2 separate regions of the Mus musculus genome follow, and region 1 is reported to be linked to region 2. Evidence: microRNA targets listed by miRTarBase, many of them from high-throughput screens and not tested one by one. Region 2 holds a microRNA gene; the other region holds the end of a gene's coding sequence.

Region 1 (7,120 bases), not on the chromosome of region 2:
TATGCATTAAGATTGGTGTATGTATGTATGTATGCATGTATGTATGCATTGAGACTGGTGTATGTATGTATGTATGTATGCATGTATGTATGTATGTGTGTATGTATGTATGAGACCGGTGTATGTATGTATGTATGTATGCATGTATGCATTGAGACCGGTCTTTCTACAGAGTCCTGGCCGTCCTAGAACTCCCTAAGACCAGGATGGCCTTGAGCTGACAGAGGTCCATCTGGTTCTACCTTTGGAATGCTGGGATTAAAAGCATGTACCCACCACCCCCAGCTATTTTTATTTAAATTACTCATATATGTGGGGGGGGGCATATTTGAGTTCAGGTGGTGCCTGTGGAGTTCAAAGAAGAGCATTGGGTCCTCTGATGCTGGAGTCATGGGTTCTGGGAACCAAACTCAGGTCCTTCCCAGAATCAGCGCATGCTTCTGTCTGACCACTGAGCCATCTTCCCAGTCTTATGTGTTTTTTGCTTTTTTGTTTTCCTTCAGCAAAGAAGTTGCCATTCTCTGCAGTTTTCTGCTGGGTCTGGGAGACAGCTGCTTCAACACCCAGCTGCTTAGCATTCTGGGTTTTCTCTACTCGGAAGACAGCGCGCCGGCCTTCGCGGTCTTTAAGTTTGTTCAGGTAACTGGGTTGTGCTGCAGTCGGTTTCCTTCCCGTTGTCCTCGGTCACTGGGGGTTTAAATGAATGCTGGGTGTCCTGTAAAGGGGGGTGAGGAGAACCAGGCACAGTGGGCTTGCTTAGGTGAGAGGCTTTAATTCTGGTCTCTGCACTTGAGTGAATACTTCCTTAGGTACCAGCCCCATCTCTCCAGAGAGTCTCAGACTTCTCATCACTTTATTGTACTATTATAGTGCCACAGCTTACTGGATTATTGCTGTCAGGCAAGTTGGGGTGCATTTGTGAGCTGGGGACCAGTGAAGTCTGTCTTCACGGGCACTGCCAGTTGCAGATGTCCTTTGGGCTGACTGTGGAGCATCTGAGGCCCCAGCATCCACTTGGTGATTTATCTTGTTTCTTCTAGTCAATCTGCGCAGCCGTGGCCTTTTTCTACAGCAACTACCTCCTCCTCCACTGGCAGCTCCTGGTCATGGTGATATTTGGGTTTTTTGGAACCATTTCTTTCTTCGCTGTGGAGTGGGACGCTGCTGCCATCGTGGCCCGAGGCTCGGACTACCGAAGCATTTGATGAGAAAACAAGTGTCTCCAAGAAACACAGCTGGTCACATGGCAGCTGGTTAAATCCGACGGCCTGTCAGTCTCATAATCGCTAAAGCGAGAACGGAGACTGTGAAATCGGGCGGGGTTGGTAGTAAAGTTTACATATCCTAGCGGCACACGCTAGCGGAGGAAGGGAATCCCGCTCTATCCGTTACAGCTGTTCTGAGATGTTCGTCCACCCCCTCCCTCAGTTCCTCACAATCAGGGCTCCTCCATCCTCATTCTCGAGGAACGATCCAGCCTGGCTCGCCATGTGTCACGAGATCCTTGCTGGCTGTGGAGTATGCCTCACTCTTTCGAAATAGGAAGCAGATGCCACTCCATGTGTGGGTCTGGGAATGACTTTCTGAAACACAGCAAGGATGCTGAGACACGTTGTTTTGAGACAGGATCTCACTGCGTAGCCCAGGCTGGTCTTGGACTTGCAGCCCTCCCCTGCCTCCAGTGTTGGGGTTATTGCCCAACACTGGATTTAAAACGCTCCAATCCTAAGAGTTAGGGTCTTGATATGCAGCCTTGGCTGGCCTGGACTTTGTATACCAGGCAATGCTCCTGCCTTTGTCTCCAGAATGCCTGGGTGGTGAGAATATGCTACCACACACCGCTGAGACTTCAACTTCTCCTAAAATGCTTTGTTGAACAAGTCTTACCTTGTCACTCCCAGCAAGGGGCTGGTTATGTGTAATGAGGTAAAGACTGTGTCATTTGTCAACTAATAAAAGCATATTTAGAGAAGGAAAGAGTATTTACTGGGAGGGGGAGGACTCATGCTGTGGTTGTCCTGACCGTTACAATAAAGAAAACTCCGGCCATCCTCTGTGGGAAAGTGCGTAAGCACTGCAGACTGTCTCCCACAAGGACTGACACTCTTACGATTGAGATATTAAATTAATTAAGCATCTAGATCAGGTCTAACATGTATGTACTGCAGCTTGGCCTCCAACTTGTGCTCTTCCAAGCCACAAACAACCTCTGGCTAAAATTCACCAACTTAGTGTGTATGTGTGGTGTGTGTGCATAAGGTTGTATAACTGCCACCATATCTAATGACAATATTTTATTTTTAAATTCTTTTTTATTTTATTTATTAGTGTATGTGTTTGCCTGTGGCTTGTCTGTATATACATTCTGCCTACAGAACTCAGAGAAGTCAGATGGAGATTGGATCCCTGCGAACTGCATTTACAGGCAGTTAAAGACCACTGATATGGGGTGCGTTCTCTGGTGTCTTAGTTACTTTCCTCTTGTGAAGAGATACCAAGGCAACTTGTTTCGAGACAGGGTTTCTCTGTGTAGCACTGGCTGTCCTTGAACTCACGAGGCTGGAGAATCTGGTTGAGTGCTGGGATTAAAGTGTCCACTATTTCTTTGTTTTGTGTCGATGTACCTTGACGGATGTATTCGCCTAGCTTTCTTGTTTTTCTTCTGTATTAAAAGTCTGGTGCCTGCTTGGAAAAATTACATTAAGATACACAGTCAAGGGCTGGCGAGATGGCTCAGTGGGTAAGAGCACCCGACTGCTCTTCCGAAGGTCCAGAGTTCAAATCCCAGCAACCACATGGTGGCTCACAACCATCCCCAACAAGATCTGACTCCCTCTTCTAGAGTGTCTGAAGACAGCTACAGTGTACTTACATATAATCAATAAATAAATCTTTAAAAAAAAAAAAAAAAAAAAAAAAAGATACACAGTCAAAAAAAAAAAAAGGTGTGCACTACCAATGCCCAGCCAAGGGAACTTGCTTAAGGGTTTATTGGCACTTAAAAGTTCCAGAGGGTAAGTCTGTGACCATCATTGTGGCAAGCATGACAGCGGGACAGGCCTGGGGCTAGAGCAGTAGCCAAGAGCTCACATTTTATCCACAAGCAGGTAGCAGAGAACTAACTGGGAATGGCTTTCTGCTTTAGAGAATTGTCTTTATGTAACTTATGTATATAGATATATGTGTGCATATATGTACACCAGAAGAGAACTTCCCATGGGTCTGCCATTACAGATGGTTGTGAGCCTCTGTGTGGATGCTAGAAATTGAACTCAGAACCTCTGGGAGAGCAGCTGCTGCTCTTAATCATGGAGCCACCCCTCCAGCCCACTTCCAGTGACACTTCTCCCAATCCTTCCCAAACAGTTCCTCCAACTGGGGGAGGGGGAGGAGCATTCAGCTGTGTGAGCCAGTGGGGACCTTTCTCATTCAAGCCAGGACAAACCCCAAGTGCTCTCAATCCTCAGCCCGCTCTGCAGCCCCAGGACTGCAGAACTGTCTTGCATTGTCTCAGCCCTCAGCCCGTCTCAGATGTGGCAGGCACTAACAACCTTCCTATGTCTGGACCTGCTGGATATTCCATAGAACAGAGCCTTCCCTTTAAACGTGACATTTATCTGTCCACAGTACAGTGAGTCCAGCTCAGAGAAACATATCTTGTTTTCCATCACTTTGGGGTTGTTGGTTTTTTGGAGTTTGTTTGGGTTTGTGTTTCTCTCTCTCTCTCTCTCTCTCTCTCTCTCTCTCTCTCTCTCTCTCCTTTCCCCTCCCCTTTACAACCTCCCCACTCCCCTTCAGAGTAGCCTAAACCAAACTGGTCTTGAACTCACAGAGATCTGCCTTCCCTCTTGAGTGCTGGAATTAAAGGCATAGCCATCACACCCAGACCTGTGACTCTGAAACATGCCATGAATCTAGAAATTGTGTAGTTGGTTGGATGATTTGGGGGTGGGGGGCAGGTGAGATTTATTCTTATTATTGATTAGGTGTGTATGCTTGTGTCAGTGTCAGAAGGCAGAGGCATGGGATCCCCTGGAGCTAGAGTGGCTGTGAGCCACCCAGTGTGGGTGCTAAGAACTGACCACACTCACATCTGGAAGAGCAGTGCACACCCTTAACCCATGAGCCTTCTCTCTAGCTCCGTGCTTCAGTTCTTGAGATAGGCTATTGTATAGCCTAGGCTCTCCTCCATCTCACTATGTAGCATAGACTGACCTCACATTCCTCCTCCTCCTGTCCACCTTCTGAATGCTGGGATTACAGACACGCACCACCATGCCTGGCATTTTTGAGTATTTGATGGTAGGGTAGGAATCCGCAAAGCCCTGCTGTCAGCCGCAGTCCTTATAGAAGTCCCCTGTGTGGAACGATGGCGTCCTCCCTGGTTGTAAGGTTTGTTTTGTAAGGCAGGGTTTCAGGTAGGCAAAACTAGCTTCAGATTTGTTATGTAGTTGAATTTGACCTTGAACCCTGGTCCACCTGCTTCTGTTTCCAAAATGCTGGATTACAGGCTTGCACCGCCATGCCAGGCTGAGGTCTGGCTGGCTTTCTTGAAGCTGAGATAACCCCAGCAGCTGGTTGACCCTGTTGTTGCCCTTAGTTCTTTAGCTGAGACAAAAGGATTGATTCAGGCCTGCTGAGATTATATAATGTGTGTGTGTGTGTGTGTGTGTGTGTGTGTGTGTATGTGTGTGTGTGTGTGTGTGTGAGAGAGAGAGAGAGAGAGAGAGAGGCGGGTGGTGGGGTGGTGATGGTGGTGGAGGTGATGATGATGATGATGATGATGATGGTGATGGTGGTGGTGGTGGTGGTGGTGGAGCTAGAGAAATGGCTTGGCAGTTAAGAGCATTGACTATTCTTCCAGAAGACCCAGATTCCATTTCTAGCACTCGCTTGGCATCTTACAATCATCTATAACCCAAATCCAGGGGATCTGACACCCTCTTCTGGCCTGGAAAGGCACCAGGCATGCACATGGTGCATAGACATACATATAGGACCATACTCATAAAAAGTGTGTGTGTGTGTGTGTGTGTGTGTGTGTGTGTGTGTGTGTGTGTGTGTTAGAAACACAGGAGGCTGGCAACAGGACTCAGGCATGTAAAGGCACTGGCTACCAAGCTTGATGACCTGAGTTTAGTCCCTGGAAGTCACATGGTGGAGGGAGAGAACTGACTCCTGAAAGTTGCCCTCTGACCTCTGCGTGCCTCCTCATTCCACATAGGGCACCACAGCAGACTAGGTTAAAGAAACCTGGTTTGGAAAGCCAGAGAACCTACCGGATTTAGTTACAGAGCAGGGGTGAGGGCCAGCTCAAAGGGAACTGCTCCACCCAAACGTCTCCCCTTGTGACAGATGGAGCCCCCTTCGGTAACCCTTCCATGCATACACTGAAGCTGCTCCCAAATCCGTGAGACCCCGTGCGATCAGAGAGGAGGTGCGTGTAGCTGTCTAGAAGGAACAGGGAGCAAGCCAGGGTCCAGCCACCCTTCTCACCCTCTCCTATGTGAGAGTGTCAACATTCAATAAACCCAGCTTTTGGGTATCACAGCTGCTGGGACCAAGGATAGCACTCTATAGTAGCTTGTGTCCCAGGAGACCCAAGGACCATTCCTGACAAGGGACATCTGATGGGAAGATGTATGTGACTCTGTGAATGCATGTGGTCATGCTCACGGCTAAGGCTAATATTCCAGTGTCAAGTATCCATGTCCATTGCAGGGACCAGGACCCAGAGTCTAGAGGTGCTATGAGTGGGTCCATCTATTTGGGTCTCCACTTCAGGGCCACACGGGGGTCACACTTCCACGGCTACCTTCATTGCGCGCCTGCAAGGAATGGACACCGGGCCAGACCTTCTATGGCAGGGGTTCACTGGCTTCTGATGACACACACAGCCTTGGCCTGCCTCCTGGCCACCTGCCAGATTCCCAGAAGGAAGGCAGGTGTGTGTTTCACATAAACTTATTGTTGGCGCTCCCAGACCAGGCACCGGGAGCTGCTCTCAGCTGCTGGGGCTGGCATTGAACATGACTGATCAACCAATGAGAATCTTTGTCATCGTGTGGAGTTGGAATGTTGCAGGTACAGAGCCTAATTATCTTGAGCCACCTTTAGCCCTCTTAACAACCTTTTTTTTTTTTTTTTTTACCCTCCTCTGGATGTCAGTCAATGTTGTTGTGACCGTGACCATCAAGTAAATCCTGTGGTATGTACGGAAACCTGTACTAACCAGAGCTTAATAGCTCCTGAAGCCTGGAAGGGAGATTTCTTGGATTTGCATTAACCCACACACCTCATGTGTCCACTGGTGTATTTTAAAAAGGCCTCAGCCTTTAATGATGGATATCCCCTTTAATCCCAGCGCTCAGGAGGCAGAGGTAGGAAGATACCTGGGTTTAAGGCCAGCCTGGTCTACAGAGTGAGTTCCAGAATAGCCAGGGCTACACAGAGAGACCTGTCTCCAAAACAAAATAAAACAAGAAATATTGAAACATCTCTCTTAGAAATAGTGTTTTGGCTCTCTGACTCTGACTCTTTTTTCCTCTCGGACCCTTTTCTTCCTCTCTCCTCTTCCTCCTCCCCCCCTCTCCACATGTTCCTGTCCCGCCTCTTCCCCACCCCCTCCCTCTCTCTCTGTGCTCTGTCCCCTCTCTTTCTCTGCCTCTACTCCCTTCTCAACTCCCCTTCCCATGTCCCCAAATAAACTTTGTTCCATACAAAGAAAGAAAGAAAGAAAGAAAGAAAGAAAGAAAGAAAGAAAGAAAGAAAGAAAGAAAGAAAGAAAGAAAGAAAGGAAGGAAGGAAGGAAGGAAGAAAGAAAGGAAGGAAGAAATAGTGTTTTGGGACTGTCAGGATAACTCAAAGGTTAAGAGCACTGACTGCTCTTCCAGAGGTCCTGAGTTTAAATCCCAGCAACCACATGGTGGCTCACAACCATCTGTAATGGGATCTGATGCCCTCTTCTGGTGTCTGTGTCTGAAGACAGCAACAGTGTATCCACGTACATAAAATAAATTATTATTATTTGGGTTTTTTTGGTTTTTCCAGACAGGGTTTCTCTGTGTAGCCCTGGCTGTCCTGGAACTCACTTTGTAGACCAGGCTGACCTTGAACTCAG
Region 2 (7,120 bases):
ATCCCCCTTGGTTCAGGCACGTGTCCCGGCAGAGGCCACGCCCACACGCCGAGGGCGCAGGCGCGCCTGCGTCACTGTCCAGCCGGCTAGATCTGGTTCCGCCCCAGTCCCGACTCGCTGCTGTGAAGCGTCCTGGGTCTCGGCAGTTCGCGCCAACAACTCCCCGCTGCCTACGAGCGAGGTCAGTGCGTGGCCAGGCGCGGGCGGCGCCAGGTGACCCCGAGGCATCGGTGGTGGCCTCGCTCTGTAGCCACGCGAGGTCGTCCAGGTGTCCCTTCGCACCGCTGCCTGCCTTCCCACCCCTGAGCCCATAGCCTGGGCCCCGCTCATAGTCTTATTAGACTTTGAGTCTTAGGCTTTGAGACCGCTTGCCAGGTTAACATGCCAGGTTAACTTGCCAGGTTAACATGGACACCCAGGAGGACCCTCCTGGGTGTCCGCGGTGTGTGCAGAGCCCTGACCCAAAAAACTGCTTGTGAACAGTGGGAGGGGCATAACAACAAACTTTATGGCACTTAATGAAGTCCCTGTGTAATGTTGATTTCATTCTTGCCTGCTCCACTAGCCTGGGTTTTTGTGTTTTGTTTTGTTTTTTTCCACCTCCCAAGAGGCAGACTTTGTTGCAGGCCTTCTCAATTGCTCCCAGGTCAGCCTTCCTGCAGGAACTCCTTAAAGTCTGTGGGGAAGGTGGTATAGTTAGGGTCTGGAGGTGAGAACTTGGCAGGCTGTGCTCACAGGCTGACACTCGCAGGAGAAATAGGATCGCAGGCTGCTCAGCTAATGTGGAAGCCTGGTGGCTGATAGTCTTTGACAGTACATAATTGTTTGTTTGGTTTTTTTTTTTTCCCTGGGAGACCCCATTTTCTGCCCAGTTGTAGCTGCTTGCACCCGCACCTTGGATGACTCCCACACTTTGCTTAGTGGGCTTTTCAAGCTTTAGAAATCCGCTCTGCATTATAATAGCAAGATCAGCACAAAAAGTAGGAACTATAGAGGATCCTGCGAGTGTTGTTTGTGCCCCAGTGTTTGTTCTGGTCATCTCTGCCCTCGTTGGCTCAGAGCTGTCTTCACATTTCTGCTGTTTTAAAAAAAGGGGGGTGGGGAGTTTTGGATTGCTAGGGAGTCACTTACCCAGGTGAGCAGAGACATCTGACCTTGCTTGCAGGGTGGTTGCTGGGCCCGTTGTAGCAGGAGAAATGGCCTTTCCTTGGCCACAGCAAGAAAGCTTCCATGACCTTAATGTCACTTGGGGGTCCACTAGGCAGTTTGGGATGTGTGAACACAGCTGCTCTACCAGAGGAAGCCAAAATCAAAAGCATTTTGATTACCGGCACACTCAAATAGAATTGGGAGTGGGGCACGTGGAAACCAGGCTAGAACAAGCATCCCTGGGTGGTGGGCATGCCGGGAAGCTCTAGAGAAGGGGATGTGGGTACCTGGCCCTGGCTAGAAAGAAGGCCTCCAGCTAGGGCGAAGGAGGCAGACTGCAGCTGAAATGAGACTGAGTCTCGCTCGGCTCAGGGACGCAGCGCAGGCTCTGCACAGTACACAGGTTCTTGTGTCAGCAGGCTTTTCCTGGCCTGGGAATGCTCAGTTATAGATGCAAGCCCCTCCCTCTCCTTCACTTCAGGGTCTCCTACTGCAGGGGTCTGATTAGAGACCTCCCCATCTCCCCCGCTGCAGGGCCCTCTTCCCTGCCTGTTGGCTGCTTTCTGCCATTTCTGAGTAGACCTAGGTGGGAGCTTGTTGTGTGTGTCGCCCTCACGCCCGTGATTCAGGTGGCAGGGGCTGACTCTGTCCTTGCTCTTGGACCAGGAGCTTCACTGATGGCCGAGTTGGGCTTCCCACTTAAACTTGTGCCAGAGCTGCTGGGACCAGTTCCTGTGATCTGCAGGCAAAGGGACGGAAGTTTTATCTTCTGGAGCCAGCCCCTCAGCCTAGTCAAGGAAATCTGCACCCTGTTCAAGCTCCTGGGGTCTGTCTGCTCCTGTGTTGGAACTGGGGACATGTGAGATAGCAGTGGGAGAGGTTAGACCTAGAAAACCCATGGGACCTTCATAACCTTGTTGGTGGGGCCAGTCAGCCTGAGTCAGGTGAGCTGAGGCCAGAGAGCCAAGAAAACCGATGTATAGTCGGGGACTCACAGCCTAGAGGCCTTGTGGTCTGTGCTGGAGTCTGTGAGAAAGTTAATTCTCTGGGCAGCCTGAGGTCAAGACTTAGGCTTTAGCCTGTGTTTAACCCCCAAGTAAGTGACACAGGGTGTTTCTGCCGTGACTGCAGAAGGACCTGTGGCCTGGACAGAGCCTGGGCTTGGTGGCGGTGACAACATCACCTCTGGGGATTCGTGTGTCCTGTGGCAGCTGGTGATGGCCCAGTCTCCTGTTTCTCAGGGATACATCAGATCTGCTGCTCACTTCCGCCATTCAGGTCACTGAGGAGGCAGGGTGCCGCATCTGTCATCTTTGTCTTTTTCAAGCATGGGGCTTAAGTGACATTTTGTGCATTTGAAAAGTCATATCTAGAAGGGGATCCCTAGGTGGGTGTGACCCTTGCCTTGGCACCAAGGTGGTGAGAGCACAGCTGTGCAGAGCTGGACGGGGTGGCCACTATCCCTGTCCTCCAGGAGCTCACGTATGCCTGCCTGTGAGCGCCTCGGCGACAGAGCCGGTGTCCACCCCTGCACTGTCCACAGACCCTTGCCTGCAGACCAGGGTGCTCAGTCGCTGGCTGTTCATGCTGTACCTTCTTGAACTCGATTGTGCAGATCTGCAGGTTGTTCCGTGGATGGAGGGGACTCTGGTTTCTCTGTGCGGTGACGCAAGGCACTGACCCCTCTGGGGTCCTAATCATCTTAACCTACGCAGACACTGAGGGGGAGGGGAGAGGAGCCAGGAGGGAGCCTTCCAGGTCTCTCCCTCTGTGTGTGTCCTCTGTAGCACCAGTTGATTCTACTGCGTGTGACCTATGTCCTGGCAGTTGGTGTCCCTGGGTCACTTCTACATCCACTGTGTTTCAGTAATTACCTCCAAATAAAAAGCTTCCTTTAAAACAAACTCTCTCCCCTCTCTTCATTATGTTGTTGTGCTTTTGCTTTGTCTTCTGGAAATCTTGCTACCGAGTGAGTGCATAGCCGGGCAGCAGTCTGCTGAGGTCTGTGAACCGGAATGGGCTCTCAAGGTCGAACACCTCTGTGGGACCCTGGACTCGGGCTGGCTCCAACTGAATGGAGGAGGGCTGATTCTGGGCTGGGGAATGAGAACAGAGTCCACTGGCCTTGGCACCCAGCTCGTCAGCCTCAGCAGGCTTCGTGGTCTCCCCCCACAAACATCGCTGTCACTTGTAGGCCATTCCCAATGTCTGGGGAACAGGTATAGGGGTGGTAGGGACCAGAGACCATGCCCCAGCCTTGGAGGCACCACCTGGGTATGTGATAGACAGGCCAGGTGCTGGGCTCCATCGACCATCTGCTGTGCCCTTGGGACTCTGTCCTGTGTGAAGCGGGTCAAATGACTGGATTCCCTGCCACTCAGCTGCGCCCCCAGTACAGCTGCTCTGGTCACATGATGGGGTGGGGACAACAGAGGGTCCTTCTACCCTCACCTGTGTTCATCCTTACACCTGACTCAGTCATTCCAAGAAAGAAGGTCCTACAGAGCTGTGTGTCTGGCACTGGCTACCAGGGCCTCTACTGCCAAGGTCTACAACTAACCTTTGAGGGGTTTTTGTTTATGTTTGAGACAGACTTGCTAAGCTCAAGCTAGCCTTGGACTTTCAATCCTCAGGACATATTCACCAACCTCCTCCACAATTCCAAGAACGTTTGAACAAGATGTTTTTGAGCCCAGTGGATGCTCAAAAACGCTGGGCATTGACTGCCTCCCCAGGACAGCACAAATCCCTATTAAGAGAATATCCCCAGTCATACTGCCCCAGCACAGGTGATGCCCTGGCCAGGGCCAGCAGCTCCTTCTAGCTGTGTGGAGAAGGAGAACATCTCTCTGCCCTGTGAACTTCATTGGGGAAGGACAGTGGGCCCTTGCCCTTCCTCCTACACAGAAGGCCTCTTTTACCCCCATGGGACCCAAGGGAGGGGCAGTGGTGGGGTGCTTGAAGCTGCGGTTTGCTGCAGCACCCACCTTTGTGTGCCTCCTCAGCGCCTGAGGCTTCAAAAACAGTAAGGTTCAACCAGGGCTTCCTGATTAAACCTGGGGAACAAACAAGAGAAGCAGGCCCACGCAGTTGCCCTGGTTCAAGGTTGGTCCTGGGTTTACACACAGCCTGGTGAGGGCAAGGGAGAAAGTGCCGCCTGGAGTCTTTGAGCTGGCAGAAAACACCCACTCACCAGGATGCCCCTGCTTACAGATGGTAGAGTTAAGCCTCCTCACCAGCAACAGGCACAAGCAGGCCAGACTCCCCTTACCAGTGTGGCTCAGAATGCCTGGCCAGGACTCTTCTCAACATCCAGAACTCAGGGAGCCTGAGGCAAGATTGCCCCTAAGGGGACGCTAGCTAGCCTGGGCTTTATAATTCCAGGTCAGCTTACCAGCTAACCTACACACACACACACACACACAGGCTGTGCCCTGTCATGGACACCAGGCAGTCTTGAATTTAGCTACCAAGGCTGTTGGGAGATGGTCCAGTTTTCTTCTCAATCTCCAGAGTCACCCAGCAAGCCTTGCCTGTTAGCATGGGACAGAGGCTGCCTGCTCCGCCAGCCCTGGATCAGTGCAAACCATGAGTGGTGATGGAGATGTGGGTGGAGGAACCCTCAGGGTGTGCCATTTGGGAGACTGCTGATGCTGCACTGGCCCCAAAGTGTCAGCCTTCCTTGGCTTTGGTAGGGACAGCAAAGAGCTGAGCCCACCATCCATACAAGGACCCTCCGTGGGTGCAGCATTCGCTCAGGCCAGTGTGCATGTTTTATATGCATGCCTGAATGAGCATTACATATGTACCCAGAGTTCAGAAGAGGACTTTGGGCCCTCTGGAGCTACAATTACAAATGATTGAGAGCTACCATGTGGGTGCTGAGAACCAAACCCAGGTCCTCTGTAAGAGCAACAAGTGCTCTAACCCACCGAGCCATCTCCACCCAGCATGTGTGTGCCACACCCTACCTCTCTTTTAAAAAAGAGCTGGAAAAGAGGGCAGCTCTAATCCCGGGACTCCAGAGGCTACAGAGACAGGAGAAGTGCCAGCCTGGGCCACGTACCAAGTTCCTCTTTGAAAACCAGGGGGCTGGAAAGATGGGGGTCTCAGTTTAGAGCACTTGTCCCTCTTCCAGAGGATCCAGTCTCAACACCAGTACCCATGTGACCAAACCATCCCGTTCTCCAATAACTCCAGTTTCAGGGGACCTGACACCCACTTCTGACATCAGAGGGTACCAGGCACACACATGCGTGTACATATATGTGGGCAGAACATCTATGCACATAAGTAAATATTTTAAAAAGTAACAACAACAACGACAAAAAAGAAACAGGAGGTGGAGAGACGGCTGTCAGTCCAGCGCTTGCCCGACAAGCAGGAGGACCGGGGTCAGATCCCATGAGAGCCCCCTGAAAGCTGACTGTGGCGGTGTGTGTTTGGAATCCCACCGCCAATACGCGGTACTAGGATGGGCAAGTGTTCCACGTTGCCTGGGTTATGCAATGCTGGGGCTAGAAGCCAGTGTCTGCATGCTAGGCAAACACTGTACCAACTGAGCCCCAGCCCCAGCTCCCATTGCCTAACTTTGATGTGTCCTTTCTCTCTCTGTCAAATCCCAAACGACAGAGTGATGGCACTGGGATGTGGTTTCTTCAGTGGCTACAGATAGAGACCTCCCTCTACAGTCTCCACAAGGGCCAGCATGATCCCCCTCAGAGATCCAGTGGAAAGGCAGTGTTAGGTTTTGGGGCGGGAGGCATTTCGGGGGAACACTGTGATCGGTCACTGTAGAGCAGTGGTTTTCAGCCTGCCTTCCTGATGCTGCAGTGCTTTGATACATGTTGTGGTGACCCCACCTCCAGAAAATTAATTTGATTAATACTTCCTCACTGTAGTTTTGCTACTATCAAGAACTGTAATGTGACTAGCGGGCGGGGGGTGGCGGGGCGGTCCCATTGGTTGGGGGTTTGTGACCCACAGGTTGAGAACCGCTGCTGGATTAAAAGAGTTGCTGACATGAGCAAGCAGGCAAAGGCTTGGTGGATCCTCCAAGAGTTCAAACCCAGTGCCAGAGACAGCATGGTGGGGTCTCTGAAGAGAGAAGTCAGAGCCCATTTAGCAGAAGTGGGGATCTATTCTTGTAGTTTCTGAAGATGGGGGAAGTTGCATAACAGAGTCTGCCATGTGGCTCATTCCCAGCAGGGGCAGGGGCAGGGACTCAGTTCCCCATGTGAGAGATCCCAGCACCTGGGATTGCATACTGACCTGACCAGGGCCTCATGCACTCAGTCAGCCTGCCTCCCTCTCTCTCTCTCTCCCTCTCCCCCTCCCTCCCCCCCTCTCCCTCCCTCCCCCTCCCTCCCTTTCTCCCTCCCTTTTTCCCTCCCCCTCCCCCTCCCCCTCCCTCTCCCCCCTCCCTCCCTCCCTCCCTCCTTCTCTCCCTCCCCCCCCCCCCCAGAGTTGGGTTCCTGCAGTATCTGTGCTAGCCTCAACAGAGACTGAATTCCACGATTATGATCTTGGTGGCACCTTGTCTCTCTTGTACCAACTCGATCCAGGAACCATGGCTCTCCTTCCTGGAGGACACACAGGCTGCAGAGCCCCCGGAGACTTCAGCCAGTCCTCAGAGCTTGTAGTGTGTGTGATAGGCCTCTCAGCAGGTGTCTGCAGACAGCATCTTTAGACCCTAAGACCAGGATCCTGGCCTGGGGTTGCTGAGGTCATGTCTTATAGACAGTGGGAGGCTAATACCCCCCTCCCCAGATCATCATCTCACTACTCCACTGCCTGTCTTCTCCTTTGATGGACCTTGGCCCTGGTGGCTCTGTGCATCCCCACCCCATGTGGTTGTGGGGTCAGAGGCAGGCCTGCCAGCCCCGGGGGTGGGGGTGGGGTGGTGTAGGGTGGCTGTCTGCTTTTTTTTCCCATTGCTGCAGTTTATACAAACACTCAGCCACACAGCCTC

Evidence for each region. Region 2 holds the annotated microRNA mmu-miR-339-5p (UCCCUGUCCUCCAGGAGCUCACG, at 2,610-2,632, shown strand). A microRNA usually pairs through its seed, bases 2 to 8, with sites in the 3' UTR of a target mRNA and lowers its output. Matches are read on the target gene's strand: a 7mer-m8 pairs with bases 2 to 8, a 7mer-A1 pairs with bases 2 to 7 and ends in A, and an 8mer does both.
Region 1: miRTarBase lists Mfsd11 as a target of mmu-miR-339-5p. Seed matches in the 3' UTR shown: 7mer-m8 at 2,514-2,520.

Annotation. Positions count from the first base shown.
Region 1 is chr11:116,872,741-116,879,860 of GRCm38, forward strand. It overlaps Mfsd11 (major facilitator superfamily domain containing 11), which reads left to right. Exons shown (of 13, transcript NM_178620.4): 12 at 504-639; 13 at 1,041-2,920. The coding sequence ends at 1,205. Among named protein-coding and RNA genes, the nearest start is that of Mfsd11, 22 kb to the left of the region's middle.
Region 2 is chr5:139,365,220-139,372,339 of GRCm38, reverse strand. It overlaps Mir339 (microRNA 339), which reads left to right and starts at 2,595; the gene lies at 2,595-2,690. The region is part of intron 2 of 3110082I17Rik (RIKEN cDNA 3110082I17 gene); the gene reads left to right.